2 linked regions of the Arabidopsis thaliana genome follow. The protein of the gene in region 1 interacts with the protein of each later gene in a pairwise test. Each region holds a gene or a part of one and is shown on either strand. Other genes may lie near its edges.

Region 1 (3,757 bases):
AAAAAATAAAACTGCAACTAAGTTTTGAAAATTATTGATGTAATGATAAATGATAATGGTAAACATGATTTATGCACTAATGGGTATTGTTTAATTTGCTTGGTCAAAACTCAGAACTCGAATGACCTTGACTTGTGCAATTAGTTGACGTTTTTAGGTACAGATTATTTTTGTACCAAAGCCAGACACCAAATATATCGAATAAGGGAAAAAATAAGCCCTCTTGGATGAAAAAATACGATCTTCCAATTCTTTTATTTTCACATATCAAAATAAACAATATTGATAAAATCTGAAAAAGAATTTAAAATAATATGCTAGCTCAATATAAAACTACACTTAAAAGTGCTGTTTTCGTGAACCACTTATTTAATTCAAATCATATTGCAAATCAGAAATCTTCTTAATCAACCCATCATCTGCTGACTCATAGGAGGAGCCATCGTCCGTTGCATATTTCCACTCCACCCTATCACATAAAAATAATAAAGTTACATCAAATAATTAATCAAACGTATGAAAGACACTAATTATTTCAATAGAAAGTGAGTCCACAAAACAATGCAATTTACCAATAGAGGGGTCAAGACCACGGGTTTTGAGTTCACGGTGTTCTTGGCAAAGAGCACAACATTCACAAAAGAAGTGAGTGACGCAATCCGAAGTTGGAGACTCCGGTAACCCGAATTTGCTTCGGATCTTGGTCCGGTAAGTGCATGAGAACAAGCAAGGTAAGCCGACCACACAACATATTAGCCCGTAAAATACCCCACATCTCCCACAACCTACGTACATTATATATACGACGTTACGTGAATTCACACACACACACATTGTTTAGATATGACATATGTGAATGTATGGCTTACCGGTCCTTCCTTCGTCGGAAATGTCCGCGATCCGTCCGAAAGTGACGCATGGGCAGAAACATGTGAGGCAAGCTTATCCAGCACAAACCAAAAGGAACAAATCATTATACAATCCTGACAATAGATCTATATATGTATAAAGATTAAAGGACAACTTGATTAAATTTATATAGAATTTCTACCAGTTTCACTGTCTTCCATGCAGCTGAAAAGACCAGAAGTCCATTGCTTTTCCATTGTAAAGTAGCTTCAACCAAATCTTGCGTCAGGTTTTAACCAGTTTTGTGTTGATCGATCTTTTGATAAGCGAGATCGTAAATCAATTAATTAGGGTTTTGAAGATAGATTTTTGTTGTTAGATGCTTTAAGAATGGAGGGTGGGTGGGTATATATATGGTTGATGGTGGATCGCTTCGAGAGATCTACAAATGTTTAATTTTTAGTACATTGCACTTTGGGAAAAATCATAAAAGTTGTAAAAAAGAGTAAAAGACTTTTAAAACTAGTACGTTGCACTTTTTGTTAAAAGGAGGAAGGTTTTTTGAAAATTGATTTTTGTTTAAGGAAGGTGAGAGATTTTACTGATTGTGAGAGATTTTAAGCTACTTAAAAGTAATATGTAAACGCGTTTTTGGGATTGGTTTAATCCACACATATATACAAGATACAAAGAATTTAATTTAATGACTAAGAAAATTAAAGAAATTATGAATAAAAAAGAAATATACATCCTAAAAATGCGAAAGTAAAATAAAACAGGCTATGCTAAATTTTAAAATATTAAATTCAACATTTTTCTATTCATAAAATTTCTATTAAAATTATTTGTAGATAAGAGATAATATGTTCAAACATTATTCCTCTATATAAGGAATCAAACTTGCAAACTTTAAAATAAAATTTTGAAAAATATATCTAATGTAATATTCTGGTTTTATTAGTAAAGTAATATTACTTAATACTAACAAATTACAAAGAAAAGAACTGAAGGAAAAAAAATAAACTTTTAAAATTTTCTAACCAGTGAAATAAATTAGAATTTAAACTTAAAATTTTATTAATTAATAATAGTCATAACAAAATTTGACAAATGTTTTCAACTTAGATGTGCAATAAACATGAATTTATTCTACTAAATCAATACTGGGCCTATGAATGGCGCAAGGAATAGCCCATTGGTTATTCTATATCTTTTGGACCTTACGTTTTTGAAGCCTGTTTAGGATCACACTCATAACAAAAAAATAAATAAGAATTACGCTTCTACCACCATTAAACTCTAATGTATCTGAACTCAGAAGATCCGATCGGAGTAGTAAAAATTCAACAAAACAACAATAAGAAAACTCATTAATTCATTCGTCGGATTCGAAGAAGAAATCACTTCCCAGAAACTTTCTTCGTATCGAAGTATTGCTTGTGTTCTTCGGAGAAACGAGATCGGGATCCGAATACGAGTACAATGGAGGTTTCGCAAGATGGATCGGAAAGAGATAAAACTCCTCCTCCTTCCTCTTCTTCTTCTTCTTCCTCTCCCATTCCTGTCGTCACCAATTTCTGGAAAGGTTTGTTTCAGATTATGTCTAGCTATCTATTCGTTTTCTTCGACTCGTAGTGAAGCTGAGGATGAGCTTGTTTTTGTAGTTAGGAGAAATTCGTTTGTTAGGATTCCGTTTAAGTAGTAAGACTTAATGAGATTCTCACTGAATGTTCGGGGAGATTGCATTGGTAGTTTAATGTGATCGGATTGAGAAATTTCAGTTTATTGCTTTAAAAGTTATCAACACATTTTTCAGTACTGATAACTAGTTTCATCTCGATTCTCCGGCTTTTGTATTTGTTATACGAAACCAGTTTCAATTAGAGAACTGGTTCTGTGGTTGCTCGCTGTTTTGATAGACATCATCATAGAAGAAAGCTCTTCCCGAATGATCCATTTACTTGTCTTTAAACTACTTGTTGCAGAATTTGATTTGGAGAAGGAGAAAAGCCTGCTTGACGAGCAAGGGCTTAGAATAGCTGAAAATCAAGAAAACAGCCAAAAGAATCGCCGAAAGCTTGCAGAGAGCACACGAGGTACTTTTTTGTTTCACCTTTTATATTGCTTAACACTTCAACATTTTCTCCTGAGGGACCTCGATAGGTTCCAGCGAAGAGATGTTAACATATTCTTTGGTTTATCTTGGTAACAACAGACTTCAAGAAAGCTTCGCCTGAGAACAAACTTAGTATGTTTAATTCCCTCCTCAAGGGATATCAAGAAGAAGTAGATAATATTACCAAGAGGGCCAAGTTTGGGGAGAATGCTTTCCTAAATATCTATCAGAAACTCTATGAAGCACCTGATCCGTTTCCTGCTCTTGCTTCTATTGCTGTAATTATCCACTTATCTAATGTTAACATAATAGACACCTAAAGTCCTTTAGCCTGAGAACCAACTAATTGCTGTATTCCAGGAGCAAGATCGTAAATTATCTGAAGTGGAATCTGAAAATCGAAAGATGAAAGTTGAACTTGAGGAGTTTAGGACAGAAGCGACTCATCTTAAAAATCAGCAGGCCACAATAAGAAGGCTTGAAGAACGGAACCGCCAGCTTGAGCAACAGGTCAGCTTGCTTTTAACCTCTTCTTCTAATTGATATAGGGATAAAACTAAATGAATGTAAAGCACAGCTTCCTTGATTATTTTTCAGTCTATTCTAGGAGGTCAAATGCAAATTTATACACTGAGCCATAAGCATGATTTATATAGAGATGCTATTTTGTGATCTTGTAACGAATAACTGTCGAAGATTAGCAGTGATATCGAGTTGTTATATTTGGATTCAGATGGAAGAAAAAATCAAAGAAGTTGTTGAGATCAAGCAACGAAATCTGGCTGAGGAAAA
Region 2 (3,757 bases), on another chromosome or scaffold:
GATGTGGAGGGACAGACTGAAGAACCTTCAGAACTCGAGGTGAGAAGACAATTGTTGGTGATAATTGAGATGCATTAATGAAGTGACATTGATAATTAACTTGTTTTGGTTGCAGCTCTGTTGTATATAATAAGGGTGTAGAAACTCCTGAGAGCTATGAGTAGTGAAAGAATAGGAGCTAAGAAAGGAAATGGATGTAGATATAATGTGGTGGATTTCAAGGGTATGGAGAGAGAAATATAAGAAGCTCATAGATTGATGGTACCGCATGTACCTGAGAGGAAGCTCTTAGATTGATGGGATCGCAGGATGTATTCAAAGTAAATGAAAGATGTATGAATAACCTGAGGGAATGTGTAAATGTAAATGGAAGAAGACTAAATGAAATGCATTTCTTTAAGTGTGTATAGTATTTTTATTGAATTGGCGATAAGAAGATTATTTAGGAGAAAGAAACTGAGGGCAGAAGCAGACAAAACGAAAGAGGGACGGTTACATACAGTGGGAAAGAAGAGATGTGGATTGTTGTGCCTTCATAAATGTCTACTTGTGGAAGACTAAGCAGTAAGTTAAAAGAAACGTGAATGATTTCCCCTGAAACGATGGTTACACAACACTCCCTTATTCACTTGGTTTTCGGGTTAAAGTTAGAAAAATAAAAGAGGTGGCCCAGCTTTGGTGCATTGAGAGTAGCAGAGTTATTAAATGCTTCGCAGAATTGCAGTTGCACATTCACTCCCTTCTTCTTCTTAATCTCCTTACAGTTACAGACATTCTCTCACTTGCGTTCTTGTTTCTTTTACAAAACAGATACACTATGTTTCCGAGAGAGTCCCTCTGATATTGGCCTGGTTCACTCAGATTCTCTTTTACTAACTCATCTGATTGAGCCGTGTCAATATCTCAGTCCTCTCTCGTCGCTTCTCTCGTATTTTGAAGTTTGCCTCGTTAGGTCACACCACTTGTTTTGTACACACGATCGAGTTGTTGATATGGTGTTGTTGTCTTTGTGTACTCATCGATCACTCAATATATACACATATATTGTCTGTTGCCAAGAACAGATGGACCTTTAAGGTAACAATCTTGTAGATATAATCGTTGATCGGATGCTCCTTTCTCCTTTCTAATTGATTTTTTTTTTAAACTATATATATAGAGATTTCGATGCAATCAACACACACTCGTATTTTTATATATTTTAAAAAGATGCGATGAGCCCCTCCCTCCAAGCTATCACATCAGACAGCAAAGAGAAAGGAGGGTCATTTATTGATGATTACATGCGGAAAGGATGCATTATTGAAGAAGAAGGAGACGAAGAGATAAGGAAAGATGTTTGGTGAATGGTGAGTCATCAAGCCTTTGTAGGAAGGCCATTCTTGGCCCAGGCACTATAGCCACCGACGATATCTTTGACTCCCGTGAAACCCTGCAAATTCGCAAATTATATATCACCAACAAAGTAAAAGTCAGAAAGAAGAGCTTTGTGGTGGAGCTTACTGCATGGAGAAGATCGGTGGTGGCTTTGATAGATCTACCACCGCTCTGGCAGCCAACAATGATGTTATCGGATTGTCCGAAATGGGAGGAGACTTGTTCCAGGAAGTCGGGGTTCTTTGACATCCCTGTTTCACAATCACAAAATTATATCCATCACTCAGTTATCAACTAACCAAATAAAAACATACCTGATGCTCCTCGATTCATGTAAGGCACGTTGATCGCCCCACAGGCATGTCCCTGGCTGAACTCTTCTGGAGTCCTATATTCATCATCCCCATTACATCAAGATCCTAATGATGCTATGTTGATGATTGAAATAGTCAAAAGAGAAAGGTGGGGCGGTACCTGACGTCTAGATAGCGGTGGCCGGCTAGAAGAAGGTCGTGGGCGACTGTTACCGACACCGATGATGGGACTCTGCTCTCCTCCGCCATTTTTTTCAATGGCTTATTATTATATTTGACTGGACAAAGACTTCAATAATTTCATTTTATATAAATTAGTTGGGAAAGTGATTATAATTGGGCCATATATTACAAATACATAATGGGCCTAAGTTGCTGCTTTATGGGCTAAGCTGTTTTCGGACTGTCCTTCATATTTTCATATTACCATTCCAAAACGGCATCATTTTAGCTAACCTCGTCTTGGGTTTACTTGATGAATTTTCAAAAGGTTTAAGGCTTCTGAATGCAATTATTCATTAGTAAAACACCCTTTACACAATTCTTACCATTCTTCGTCAGTCGATCAGATCAACGTTTTACCGTCTCACTGATCGACGGGAAAGAGACGACGACGTTTTTAACCTTTGGGTTGAGATCCGATCCAATATTTCGAAATCGTGATTCCTTGTTTGTGACCTCTCTCTCTCTGCCTCCACACTCTTCTCTAATCCCTCACCTCAAGGTAAGCTTCTTCTCTGGCACTGATTACATTCAAATCTCTCTTCTCCTTGCGTTGCTTTTGCTGGTTTATTCGAATTTCACGACTTGACTCCTTTCTCTTTTGATTGTTGATTCAAATCCCGATTTTGCGCTTACTAGTTGTCGTCGCTCTCTTGAGTGTCTGGGTTCATCTTTCTGACATCTGCTCTGCCAAGATGTCCGAAGACAAGGAATCTGATGTGGTTGGAGAAGAAGAGGAGAGCCATGTGATCAAAGAAGATAAAGAGTTAAATGATGCCTCCAACGAGACTCTGACAGAAAATGGTGATCAGCTACTCCAAATGATTGCTGAACTGAGATTAGAAAATGACTTTCTCAGATCCCAATTTGAGGGACTCAAGGATGAGGTAGCGCAAGGTAGGTCTCTCCAGAAAGCTGAGCAAGTGGAAGCGGACTCTGCTCAGCTGAAACAACTTCAAGAACAGGTCGCATCATTGAGCAGAGAAATTGATGTGGAAAAACAAACTCGAGTTGCAGCTGAGCAAGCTCTTGAGCATCTAAGGGAAGCATACTCTGAGGCTGATGCTAAATCCCAAGAATACTCCTCTAAGTTTTCCCAAGGTCAGAAGCCATCTTTTCTATTTGCTCATTCATTGACCGGAACCAGTGTTTGCCTTTTCTCAACTTGTGCTATTACATTGTTGGTGTAGTTGAACAGAAACTGGACCAGGAAATCAAAGAGCGCGACGAGAAATATGCCGACCTGGACGCCAAATTCACCAGGCTTCACAAAAGGGCTAAACAACGCATTCAAGAAATCCAAAAGGTGAATGTCTTTCTCTACATTTTATAATGCTTTCTGTTTTAGCCACTTTGAGGCTACTGTGAGTTTCAAAAACCATCTTATACTATTTCGGAATTTCTATGCTGCATTTTCAGACATATAGATTTCGCTGCTATGTGCTGTCTTAATCTCAGTGGTATATTATATTGCTATCTTCAGGAAAAAGATGATCTCGACGCCCGTTTCCGGGAAGTGAATGAAACAGCTGAACGAGCATCTTCTCAACACTCATCCATGCAACAAGAGCTGGAACGCACTAGGCAACAGGCGAATGAAGCACTTAAAGCAATGGATGCGGAGAGGCAACAACTAAGGAGTGCCAATAACAAGTAAATAATTCGAAGATAATTTTTACAGAAATTGTATAAAATGAATGTCGCCTTTCCCACTTCTCCAGCTACCTCTAAGAATTTGAGTACTGGAGTTTTCTCTTTACACAGGCTCAGGGATACTATCGAGGAACTACGTGGCTCATTGCAGCCTAAAGAAAATAAGATTGAGACATTGCAACAGTCACTTC

The links. The genes of interacting proteins can lie anywhere in the genome.
Region 2: the proteins of CASP (region 1) and ATGRIP come close enough for resonance energy transfer, tested with the Arabidopsis thaliana proteins (one study listed by BioGRID).

Annotation. Positions count from the first base shown.
Region 1 is NC_003074.8:6,334,593-6,338,349, forward strand, and holds the start of CASP (CCAAT-displacement protein alternatively spliced product), read left to right. Parts: upstream 1-2,099; 5' UTR 2,100-2,331; coding exon 2,332-2,434; intron 2,435-2,834; coding exon 2,835-2,945; intron 2,946-3,064; coding exon 3,065-3,243; intron 3,244-3,325; coding exon 3,326-3,475; intron 3,476-3,698; coding exon 3,699-3,757. Other genes in the region: AT3G18470 (PLAC8 family protein), read right to left, coding at 408-469, 573-785, 870-941, 1,052-1,106. UniProt on the Arabidopsis thaliana protein: May be involved in intra-Golgi transport.
Region 2 is NC_003076.8:26,408,740-26,412,496, reverse strand, and holds the start of ATGRIP (Golgi-localized GRIP domain-containing protein), read left to right. Parts: upstream 1-2,141; 5' UTR 2,142-2,415; intron 2,416-2,552; 5' UTR 2,553-2,608; coding exon 2,609-3,014; intron 3,015-3,103; coding exon 3,104-3,219; intron 3,220-3,396; coding exon 3,397-3,566; intron 3,567-3,677; coding exon 3,678-3,757. Other genes in the region: AT5G66050 (Wound-responsive family protein), read left to right, coding at 1-39, 116-164; STR16 (sulfurtransferase protein 16), read right to left, coding at 1,358-1,432, 1,504-1,628, 1,692-1,765, 1,852-1,940. UniProt on the Arabidopsis thaliana protein: Golgi matrix protein playing a role in tethering of vesicles to Golgi membranes and in maintaining the overall structure of the Golgi apparatus.